Caenorhabditis elegans: one gene and its partners. The protein of the gene in region 2 purifies or fractionates together with the protein of the main gene of each other region. This does not show direct contact. Each region holds a gene or a part of one and is shown on either strand. Other genes may lie near its edges. The genes, in order: C11D2.3, Y65B4BL.1 and R160.10.

The links.
Region 1: the proteins of Y65B4BL.1 (region 2) and C11D2.3 fractionate together in Caenorhabditis elegans (co-fractionation; one large-scale study listed by BioGRID). This does not show direct contact.
Region 3: the proteins of Y65B4BL.1 (region 2) and R160.10 fractionate together in Caenorhabditis elegans (co-fractionation; one large-scale study listed by BioGRID). This does not show direct contact.

What each region holds. Positions count from the first base shown.
Region 1 is NC_003282.8:6,149,997-6,155,224, reverse strand, and holds C11D2.3 (BLOC-1-related complex subunit 5), read right to left. Parts: upstream 3,413-5,228; 5' UTR 3,323-3,412; intron 3,272-3,322; 5' UTR 2,789-3,271; coding exon 2,770-2,788; intron 2,706-2,769; coding exon 2,596-2,705; intron 2,407-2,595; coding exon 2,231-2,406; intron 2,182-2,230; exon of another isoform or gene 2,161-2,181; intron 1,886-2,160; exon of another isoform or gene 1,861-1,885; intron 1,492-1,860; coding exon 1,411-1,491; intron 1,000-1,410; coding exon 802-999; intron 756-801; coding exon 602-755; 3' UTR 548-601; downstream 1-547. Other genes in the region: C11D2.7 (PUA domain-containing protein), read left to right, coding at 1-169, 237-503.
Region 2 is NC_003279.8:529,280-533,039, reverse strand, and holds Y65B4BL.1 (uncharacterized protein), read right to left. Parts: upstream 2,072-3,760; 5' UTR 2,053-2,071; coding exon 1,949-2,052; intron 1,774-1,948; coding exon 1,692-1,773; intron 1,316-1,691; exon of another isoform or gene 1,251-1,315; coding exon 1,155-1,250; 3' UTR 1,147-1,154; intron 1,094-1,146; 3' UTR 1,093-1,093; downstream 1-1,092. Other genes in the region: dbd-1 (DB domain-containing protein), read right to left, coding at 188-421, 487-1,092.
Region 3 is NC_003284.9:4,366,426-4,369,549, forward strand, and holds R160.10 (uncharacterized protein), read right to left. Parts: upstream 1,090-3,124; 5' UTR 1,088-1,089; coding exon 1,011-1,087; intron 951-1,010; coding exon 743-950; 3' UTR 601-742; downstream 1-600. Other genes in the region: R160.4 (DUF4845 domain-containing protein), read right to left, coding at 2,118-2,319, 2,370-2,425.

The DNA of each region.
Region 1 (5,228 bases), on a different chromosome or scaffold from region 2:
GGAGATCCTCCCGAAAAAGGAGAATTTCAAAGTGATCAAATGCAAGGATCACATTGAATTGCTCGCCGATCATCTGGGTGTCGTGCGATTTGTTAAAACACGTAACACTGATTACATTCCAACTTTGAGAACACTTCACAAGTATCCATTCATTCTTCCACATCAACAGGTTGGTTATAAATTGATTATTTACCTGGTTCAACATTTCCATTTATTGATGAAAATTCAAATTTCAGGTCGACAAAGGTGCCATCAAATTCATCCTGAACGGATCTTCAATAATGTGTCCTGGATTAACATCGCCAGGAGCTAAACTCACTCCTCTCGTACCAAAGGATTCAGTGGTTGCTGTGATGGCTGAAGGAAAGCAACATGCGTTGGCAATTGGTTTGATGTCAATGAGCAGTGAGGAAATTCAATCTGTGAATAAAGGAAACGGAATTGAAAATCTTCATTATTTGAACGATGGGCTGTGGCACTTGGCTGAAAAATCGTTGAACTGATGTGCTCGAATTCCCGGTCGTCGTGCTCTTTATCAGACTTCCAATAATTTGAGATGATCTTTATTTTATATGTCCATTTTGGGATTTAATTTATATTTTCATGCACTTTCTTTTGTTGTATCTTTTCCTTTTCCATCTCGATTCTCATAAAATTTCCAAAGTTTTCCGTCGAGTTTCTTGATTCTCTTTTCTTCCCTTTCAATACGCCACGCTATTTCTTCCAGTTGAGATTCCTCATTTTTGCGAACTTGCCTGCAATTTCTCAACATCAGAGCGAAACAAAACAAACTTCACTTACTGATTCGCGTGATGAGTCTGTCGTAATGCGTGAAGTTGAGTTGTCAAGCTGCTCAACTTAAAGGCTTTCTCCGAGAAATCATCGACTAAAACCTGAAAAGAATTGTCCAGAGCACATTGATACTTCTCGGTTACTTCATTGCAAACAGCCAAGCATCCAAGAGCCTCACTGATTTTATTATTCTGCTGCTCAATGTTCCTGGAAAAATTATTTTTGCATTAAAGTACACATGAGCAAATATTATCTCGCTAGGTATTTGGCGGGAAAACTGAAAATTCGAGCGATTTCTAAATATAATTATTACCATTTTCTAATCATTCTCCGTCTATTTTGATGTGTTTCCTGCTGGCCTAAACATGCATTTATAACAATTAATTCGGCACGAAAATCATTTAACAAACAACAGAAAAAATAACAAAAATGTTTGATAGCTGACAAAATCGGCAAAACTAACTGAAAAGTTTAAATTTACAGTCTTGGCACCTAATACGAGACCCAACTGTGGGAGGCGGGGCGGTTTTAATTGGCTGTGGAGCGCGTTTCCACATCGATTTCAAAGGGAACATTCTGCTCCTTTGAAATCTCTTCTGCGTCCCCATAATAACTCACAATTCAATAGCATCAAGAAGTCCCCGCTTCTCGAAATAGTTTGTTCTCTGAGCATGTAGATTTCCCTGGATTTTCGCAAATCTAAATTGAAATTTCTGAAAAGAACTTTCTCAAACCAGGTACCGGATATCTCGTCGCGATACTACAGTAATCTACAGTTCATCATACTCCGGCAACAGTATGATCGCTATGAGATATTATCGAAAGAATACGATCGCACAATTTTCTCATAATTTATTTTTGATTTACCTTGTTGACTAGGCTCCTCCTCTTCCTTTGACAAGACAGCCACAACAAAATAACAACGGCAACAAGATCAACAGGTAGATCAAAAATATATTATGAGAAATTTGTGCGATCGTATTTTTTCGATAATATCAGGGAAGTGATTATGTTCAGTAATTTTTGTAATTTATAAATTTTGGAAGATTTCACAAAAGCTATTAAATAACTTTTTTGCGGGACAAGAGACTAATTGCAAATTTTTTAAAGCTTTTGTTTATCTCAACCGGTGAAACAGTGAAAAAGCTTATGAAACATTTGTGAATTTTTATACTTAAAATTCTCATCAATTCAATCTCACAACACGAATATGTGTAGAATTCGAAGCCGAAAAAAATATTTTTTTTAATTTAGCCGCCTTAAAAATTCCAAAGATAAATTCCAAGAATAGTCGCGGACTTCGTGATGAAAAAAAAAATTTACTGTTTCAGAACTTTAATATCTTTTCATATAATCAGGATAAAACATTCAACCACCATTTTTTGGAAGATCCTATAGAATACAAATCGAAAAAAATGTTGTTTAATAGTAAACTTACGAACTGAACGCTCTGCTCAAATAGTCAACATCGTCCATTTTTGGTTTTTCACTGATATAGTTTGAAAAATATTGATTATCAATGCACAATGACGGTGTAATTGTTGGAATCGGAGGAAGTGATGGTCCAGGATCAGATGGTATGGGTTCATCTTCAGAAGGGACAGAGGTTACTTTCTGTAATATGAAAAGTTTCTAGTTTTCCATAGATATTTTTAATTACTCATGTTGTGGTTATTCTTCACAATAAACAAAACATTCAAGCGGGTCTCACAGCGAAATAAATTTTTTAAATATTAAACATTAAGTTTTCAGTCAAAAAATGTACTGTTACGTTGAAATGTTACTATTATTCAGATAACTTACTTGACCTTGTTTCCCTTTTGACTGAATAGAAGGTAACTTCACATATGAGATCCTCCTCGTTGATTTCTGCCATCTCAGTGTTGATGAAGAAGCACCAGGTTTGTTAGAACCTTCAACAAAATTTAATTTTATCACAGGTCTAAAGAGAAAACGTAAGAAATATAACTTTCTTACCTGCAATCGATGGGAACATTGAAACTTTTGAAAAGCAAAAATAAACTCAAATTTTGAGCAACATTTTGAGCAGCAGTGAAAGGTTACTGAACCAGTTTCAAATTTTATTTAGTGTCATGGCATGGCTCTGGTTGAGTTGCAAAATTGTCCAGTGAACTGGAAGCATAATTGGCAGAAAATAAAGGCTTGAGTGGAAAAAAAAATTAAAAAGTCAGGGCCAAAAGTGATTATGAATACGGATTTTTTGAAATTGCACGTTCATATATGACGTCACGCCTCTGCACGCCACTTTAAAATTCACGTATTTAGACAGCTTCAGATACCCACCAAAATGAGAGACACAGTCTCCTCCCAGCTTCTTCCTCTGCAAAACACCGAACAACAATTTACAAAAACAACAATTTACAAAAAGTTGCCGGTGTAGGCATTAGGAAGACGAATATTAGGGCCAGGAAAACGTCCCGTTCTCATCAAAGGGGATGTCTAGTGAACAACAATAAAACTGAAAATATTCGAATAGATTAAATTTGGTATCATTTGGAGTTATTATTACTATAAATATGAAGTACTTGAATCACTACAATAGTCGCATAAAAACTGAGATATGAATAAGTCTTTTTACATTCAACAATTGAATGTCAAATTACCATTCAATATTTGCTTTCTGGACATTAACCATGCACTTTTATTCACTGTCATGAGTTTTCTCTCGTGATATTATTCACACAGCTTTTGTCCCTATCAAAAGAAATACGCGACTGTCACATTTATCTTTGTTTTGTCTATTTGCAAGTCAAATAAGTGTTCTACATTGATGCGCAGACACGAATGTTGGAATTAAACAGTTTTACAGAAAAATGGTTTACCTATAGGCTTACAGGCTATTATCTAGTCCTTGAAAATTAACGGCATCCAAGATTTTTATTCAGACAGGTTTTATGTTAAAGAGAAATAATCTTTTTTTGGGTCTATGTCTACTTTGAACATTGAAAACCTTTGAAAGGAAAGTTATATGGACCATACAAATAAAAACTTATTTTTTTTCTAATCATTGTAAGACAGGTCGTACAATTGGAAACAATTCGATTTCACCGCACCTATACCGTGAATATGAAACGATTTTCGATATTTTATAAACCCCTGAAAAGAAACGTGTGATTACTCAAATCGTTCAGCTCCCTCATTTTTTTTCCGATTTTGCCATTTTCTTACTTTAAATTTTAAAGTTTTGTTTCGTTTCACATTTTCCGCAAGGCTATAATTTTACGAGTGATCTACCCACATATTCAACTTCTTGATAAAAAATGTATTTTGAATTTGTTTTCTGTCCAATTGACCAATTTAAATGCTTGAAACTCCTATATACTTTGCAAAAAAAATTAATGTTTTTCATACATCATAAAACATATTCCAAACTCAGTTGAGAGTTAAATATAGAGTTGAATTTTGAATTGAGATCTGGAAAAATTTGACGTCAGAGGCATCTTCTTGACAAAACGTCGCAAGTTCATAGCAAATTTTTGCAATTTAGAAAATTAATTCAATAGAAATTTAAAAAATGGTCTGAAAATCTTTAGAAATTTGTTGAAAATTTAAAGTGCTCAACAGTAGTTGCAAGAGTACGCTAACAAATTGGACCGATTTGCCGAGTTCTTTTTTTGGGATTCTTGTTGAAAAATGATTGCCGCAAATTTAAGTGATTTGATCTTTGTGATACAGTAACCCAAGACATATGTCTACGTTACTGACAGCATTGATTTGCATATAGTGTATAGAATATGCACAGTCTGAAAATAGAACTATTTTCTTTGAACTTTGTAAATCAAATTTAATTATCCTTTAATTATTATTTTTTTTTAAATTATAATTTAAATCCCTGTAATTTTTGTCGGTTTCAAGAGTCCCATATTACCATTTACACGCTTTCTTTCAATTGTCCATAATTATTCATGAATTTTATTTTCTCCGCCCATTCGCTTTTGCCCACTATACTCAGTTGATGTTTCCATTTTCTTTTGTGGCTGTGCCCTCTTATCTTTTCTCTTATTGCCGTCCTCCTTCTCCACAGTCGCCTCTCTTTTTTTCTAATTTCGTTGTGTGTTTTTCAAATATTTTTGAATGTGATTTATGATTTTTGAGTTAATTTTCTTGAAAAAGAGGTGAGAGAGAAGGCATTTGGAGCATTTTTTTATGGGGATATTTTTTCGAAAATACTAAAAACCACTTATTTATTTAAACATTGTGCACCAACTTACTCAACATACCTTAACTTACATTACATTTCCAAATTATTATAGGCATAGCTCCGACAAAAAGCGAGAACTTTTATGACTTTTCAAAATTTGAACAGCGAAAGGTCGTTTGTTTCTCTTTTTATGAGGCGTGCCAGGTGCAGCGAGAGAGAAGAAAGGAAACTGTAGATTATGAATCATTTGTAGATAAAAATTGACTTTTCATTC
Region 2 (3,760 bases):
TGAACCCTGTTAGGTACTATGAGGAACTGATGTATGTCGGGCGGTTCAGATGAATATCACTGAGAAATGTGGTAGTGTTGAAAAGGGGGGACGAGATTGGAAAATGGAAAATTATTAAGACGAGCGGCGAATTATTATTAACAACCTGAGCCAGCTTATTACGGGAGAAGAGAACGGGGATGATGGTCTAGTTGATGGTACGAAGACCACCTCTGGCACAGTACATGATGACGTTCCAGTTGGACAGGCAGACGAGATCCTCCTTCTCCATAGAGCTTACACGGTCTCCCGACGGGGAGATGTTGCACATACGTAGGCAACGATCGCCGACGCCGAGTTCCGCGTTTGACATGCCGAGGTTGGAGCAGCACGCGCGGTTGTCGCGGTTTTGGTTGGCACAGTAGAGCAGTTTGGAGAAGTACTGAAAGAATGAATTTTGGAAAAACTCAAAAAAAAAACTCAATAGGAAGATTGAACTATTCTTACCTTCATATCGCAGTGCTCTTGCTGGATCGCCTGGATCAGAGTTTCAGCGGCGACATGCTCACGATGCTCGTAGGTGCAGAGGCTGTGACAGTTGGATGGAACCTGTTGGCGACAGCAGGAGAGGAAGACGTCGTCGGCCGACTTGCGGGACAAGCATGGTGAGAATGGTGGCTGAGACTTCTCGGTTCCGCACTCGGAGGAGAGATCGGCGTCGGTGACCTCGGTGATCGGGTACTCCTGGCTGAGAAGCTTGGCATCACCGACTCGTGGTGCTCTTCTGATATCCTTGGAGTCGATGAACTGCTCCTTGGCTTCATGGTCTACTTCAACTGCTCCGACAACTCTGTTGCTAGTTGCCTTAGCTGGCTTCACCTGCTTCTTTGGAGCTCTCGTCGATGGCTCTTCATCGATCGTCTCGTATTTTTCCAATTTGTGGGGGCATTTCTCAGTGACATAATCGATACAACCAGACATACATTTATCTAAGACACGTTGGGTACAGCACAAGACTTTTGGTATTTGCTCGCAATCGGGCAACTTCGGTTCACTATATACACTGGGAATAATTATTGAGATTAGAATAAGAATACCGGCTGCCGATCGCATTCTGAAATGTTAATGGATCTTGAAAAGAAGAAAATGTACACAAAAAAAACTCACATATTAACTTATTTACTGGAAAAAAGTCCGCCTGACGAATTGTTCGATGAAAAGCAGCCTGCTGATGAGGACGACGAGCTGTTGTTGCCGAATGCGAATCGGTCCTGGAATGAAGCGAAACTGTTCGAGAGTCTTGGATTAAAGGGGGCGGATGATCCGGGGGGAAAGTGGGGCGGATAGCCAAGAGACAATGAGACAATGGAAGTCCCGCTAGGTGATAAACTTGATATATCGGCTTTCACTTTTCGTAAGTGTGCGCGCCAGCGCTTCAGGATTCTCTGATTTACAGGAAGATGAAAGTGATTTGAAAGATTGTTCATTTTTGGCATTTAAGCATTTAACACTTGGTCCAGCTTAGGCTTTTTTCGTTTTGATTGAGACGGATATTCCGACATGGTGTGCAAAGCACAAGAACCTGATTCTTGTTTTCGTTGCCTATGATTTAATTCGGATAAAAGTACTCTTCATCACGCGGTTCTCAATGTCCCTGGCCTAGAACAACACTTCCCCCCCCCCCCCCCCCCCCAGATATTTTTATAACTCACGTTGTTTCTGCTGTTTCCGAACATTCCTCCGCCGGATTTGTCCATGTAATCACCATTAACTCCACCAACACCTCTTGTCGACCTGTAATTTGGGATGGATTGGAAAACTTGCTAGACCGGGGTGCGATGAAGCCGAGAATCTCGGCGCTTAAGCGCTTCGATGGTCGGCGGGAGAACCCGTTCGTTACGTAACGAATGCCAGACATCGTTAATCTCGATGTCTACCATCCTACTAGTTACATAAGAACTCGACTTACCAGTTGCCTGATCCACTGCCAATTGAGAACGTTGAGGCGCCGGTTTGTGGCTGAAGATCGGAGAGAGCAAGGGCAGCGCGTGGGGATGGGCTGTCTGGGAGCATTGTGTAGAAAAAAGTTTCTGGAAATAGAAGGAATTGTCTAGAAAAGAATTGGAAAGCGAAACTAAGAAGAACGACACCACCAGTACCAAATGGATCGGCATATGAATGAAAATGAGGAGAGAACGAGGATATAGGATGTAGGATATTGGATATATAAAGAATGCTGAATTGAAAACAAAGAAGAGTGAGATGAATATGCGCTTATCTAGCAAAAAGGCGGAATGGCATCTGATCCACAAGGAAGAAAGAGAGAGAGAGAGAAAGGAACCGGACCAACACCAAGAAGCATAACAGAAGCATGATGAACGTCGAATGAGGAACATGAATGGCAAACAAAATACTTTAGCCCGGCGGGCGCGGACGGGCGGGGTAATCAAGGCGCAGGTGGGGTGACCACCAACTGTCGAGACTGTCCTCGGCATAAGTGTTGTTCGTTTTCTCGGGGCCAGCCTTGTGTGTGTCCCGGCCCCGCCCTCTCACTATGGCATGCTCCTCCCACTTTTTGGATATCGGGAGGACATGGGAGGGGGAGAAGGCTAAGGAACAAGAATAAGAAGTTGGATCGGGTCGGGCGCAATGGCATAAGCGCTGCTGCGATGATATGGGAAGCACAAAAAAGTAACGAAATGGGCGGAGAACTTTAGCTATATGCGGGTGCCTGGTACGCGAGGAGGAGGTATCCGTGCCGGGAAGAGCCATCTCGATTGCGCAACCTTCAGTCGATATTGCGTCGATTCCTCTTCCCGCCTACCATCTTATATATATACATATATACGCGTGATGATGCGGGAGGCGCTTTGTGTTGTTTTTATTTTTCTAGGTCAGTTTTACCAAGGACGGCGGGGGGGCGATTTCTCGAGTGGGGAGGAGGTGAATTCGCAATAAGAACCCTTTTGCCGACACGGCTAGAAAAAACTGTTCGGACTTTGGCAGCAAAAATAAATGAATAGGACTTCACGACTGAAGGACACGCACACTTGCCTTGACCCGAGACTCGCATGAGAAACGGATAGGCGACGAAGGTGGAGCGTGCGGATTGGCAGAACTGAACTTCTGAGGAGTAGATTGAGAAGATGATTGGGGTTGGCATAAGCACTTCCTACATACATGGCAGCGCCGATCCTTTAGAAGCACTTCCCGAAAACATCTAGCCGACCAGAATTCTAAAAGATGATGTATATTCTAGGCCAGGGATTACATAATAGAATGATATCACAATTAAATTTCACAACATCCTCGTCATCTCCTTCAAAGATCGTTGTTCCTTCAAGGATCCCGACGCCCACCAGTGCTAATGTACCTCCTTGAAAAGCCTATCGATCACGCAATCCATCGTATATCATGTCGCTGCCCATGTGATTTAGTATATATCCCATCTGCGCGGGCGGGCGCGCGCGATTTTTCATTTTTCCGACGATTACCCAATCCCGAACCTCCTGTCGCTTTCTGCGCGGAATTTTCCCCCCTACGAATGTCTTACTAATTCTTCTAGTATTGGAATGAATTTACGGAACCATATCTCTATTCCATCCGAATGAATAAAGAAAAATGAAACAAGGAGAAAGGGCAAGGAGGATGGATAATCAAACACAAGAAGGAGAAGAAAAAATGGAAAGGAAAAACGAGAAAAAATGGAAGAAAGGAAAAAAGATCGGATCGGGAAAGAGAAGGAGAGATGAAGATGGGGAAGAAGTGAGAGGAGCCCCCG
Region 3 (3,124 bases), on a different chromosome or scaffold from region 2:
TATGTGCAGCGGATCTCTGTGTTTCTGTGCGCCTCTTTGACTGTATTCATCACTCCGTTTATTGCCCAGATATTCGTCACTCGCTGCTCATCACGGGGCAATGCACAGATTGAGTAGATGGAAGAAAATTGGCAGATGCTATATGCGCACAAAAAAATGTTGGAAAGGGAACATGAAAAAGTGGTGAAGAGGGCAAGGGGGATTGGAGGCGAAGAGCAAATACTGTGTAAAAAACACATCAAAAACATAAACCTCTATTCTTAATTGATTGAGAGACTTGCAAGTATGTACTGGCCGAGCCAATAATCTATGAGTGCATAGATTCAAACTCAGTAAACAATTACAATTTGAATTTGCATGAGTCGCTGCTCAGTGTGATACGGAGCCATTGAATTCTCTGAGCAGCGACGCTTTTAAAACAAAATAATTCGAGTTTGTTGATATATAGAGAATGTTTTTGTAATGTCTGGAAATAATTCTATAACTGGATACTACACAACAGTACGAAAAAAAGGGACACATGACAAAAACCTATTGATCTAATTTTCGTATATATTGCAAATTGGGGCTAAATGGAATCATTTTGAAATTGCCAATTTATTCAGTAATAACTTTATACATATAAAAATTAAACACAAACTTATGTTCTCTCTAGGTTTCAATGATAATTATGACAATTTATTGAAATGTGTGGTATGATTATGCGGGTTATAGCAATTGGGAAAATAATACAATAAGACACTTAAACGCGTGAATTGTTGATAGGAGCTCGTGACAGCAATGGTAGTCTTCCTGGTAATGGGTCGTTAGTTGTTCCAAGTGATGCTAGGGGTATAGACCCTTGAGCGTTCTCAGCGTCCTCATCTCCTTCCAGCTCTGGCCGGCAGCAACTTCCTCTCCGTCCACAGCAACCGTACTTTTGCATGATGTAGTCTACCAAAAAACCAATGCTGGAAATTCAAAAATGTTCATTTTGTTTTTTAAAAGACTCCTGAAAACTTTGTTCTCACCTGAGACACGAGAGGACAACAACCAAAAAAATGAGCATCGGCGGAACATGATATTTGATTGTTTGAGCTGTTTCCATCTGACAAATAATTCGGAATGTTGAACAAAAAATGAAACTTATAAATATGAGACAAGGATTAACAACCTTGTGGGATATAGTAATAGAAGATAAATCGGTAATAATTTAAATACGTTTATTGGTGTAAAAAAGTAATGGGCAATCGGTAGGGTGTATCAGGAAACATCTATGATTAGCAGTACAATTTCTGAAATTAATTCCCATTAAAAAATTTGAAAAAAATAGATGACAGCAACCTCTAAATGGTAGCTTCAACTCGGATGACTGTGGTTCGAGCAATGTGTTTATGCATGTTTTGAAACACCTCGGCAATGAAGTACCAAATTCTAAAATTTTGGATAAAATTGAATTATTTTTTGAAAGTGGAATAAGAAATTACATGACCACCGCCGAAGTCAAACCGATAACTATCAAAAATCCAATGGTCACTAAATTCTGGACGTCCATGGTAAAGTTTGAGTTGTATAAAAATGAGGTATCTGAATCTTGAAATGAGATGTGTGCGATATATTTTTCAATCGCCGATAATGAGAATTGAAATGTTTTATAAAAGCGTGTACATGTATGCATTTTAGACCAGAATTTTTACTCCTCACACAGAAAAAAAATGTCTGACGAAATAATTAACACATGAATTACGTCAAGGTTAAATTTTACAATCATAAATATGGTTTAAGAAAAGTTTAAGAATTCCAGTAATCCGAAATTTGGGCAATTTCAGCCAGTTCCAAAATTGCTCACTGCAGCAAATTCAAAAACCAGCAATTGCTCAACTTACCAATTACCGCACACCTCTGATCAAACCAAAATAATAGTTATGGTTTGGCAACCTAACAATACCAAAATATTAACCAAAACGGAAGGGCACGCTAAAATTTATCCACAAAAAAGTTATTCGAGAGCTACTAAAAAGAAATAGTCTATACTACTGTATTTCAATTTTATCGTTGTTACAAATTATGAATACATATGGTGCATGTTGATCGTCTGTAATAAAATTTTGAAAAAATTTACGAACATTTTTCTTACTTTAAATAGGAAGAAGTGGAACAGTGTCTATGATCACTTTGTTGGCAGCATATACTTCCAGCCCATGCATTTGCTCCAGTTGCTCCACGTCAAGAGATACAAATCCTTGTGGACGACTTGGCTCCTCTTCATCCTCAAATCTTTCGAAAAAACGGGGCTGTGGGAAGAACCATTCTCTGATGAGAGTTATGAATAGGATGATGCTATAATTTCCATAACTATTTAAAAATAATTTCAGATCATCGTCACTTACAAAAATATTGACCAAATTAGGAGCAAGATGAGATAGATGCATTTGATGATGTCCATGTTGAAACAAGTCATGCAGGTTTGCGAAATAGTAATTGAAACTAACAAAAAGTTAAGAAGGATAATTAATTAAATATACAGGTATACTTATTGGTTTCAACCAAAATCGATATGAAAAATTGTTCAGAAATTGACATATGTAACATCAACATTCATTAACAAAAAAAGGAGATCAATAATTAATCTGTGCAGTGCTAACAATGACAAATGTCTACAATAGTATTGCATTCAGACCTGAAAAATATATGCTCTCAGTTTTGAAAAAAATATATGTTTCCCCGAAATTTCCTGCCTTTCTACTTATTTTCTCACTGACAATGAACATGTTCAAAAATAAGGAAAAAATCCTTAATAAATTTTATAAAAGTTTAGAGAAACGACTTAAAAATACGAAGAAATTTAAAATAAAATTGCAAACTAATTCTTAAATCATTAACAAAAGTTTTGAAAGTTTTTTTTAGTACTGGCATTTTAAGTTTTAAAAATAATGAACCCAACTTTACTGTACTTTTGTCATTTACGATCCATTCTTTAAAATTTTAAGAGATTAATTTATGGATCCTTTTGATTGCAAATCAAAATGTATCTCGGCATACTCTTTAAAATTTTTTCAAACTTACTTCCCTACATTGCAATATAAACTTTGTTATACAAAAAGTTATAATTAGGAAATTAAAAGTTTTGTACGTTTGCAAAAGT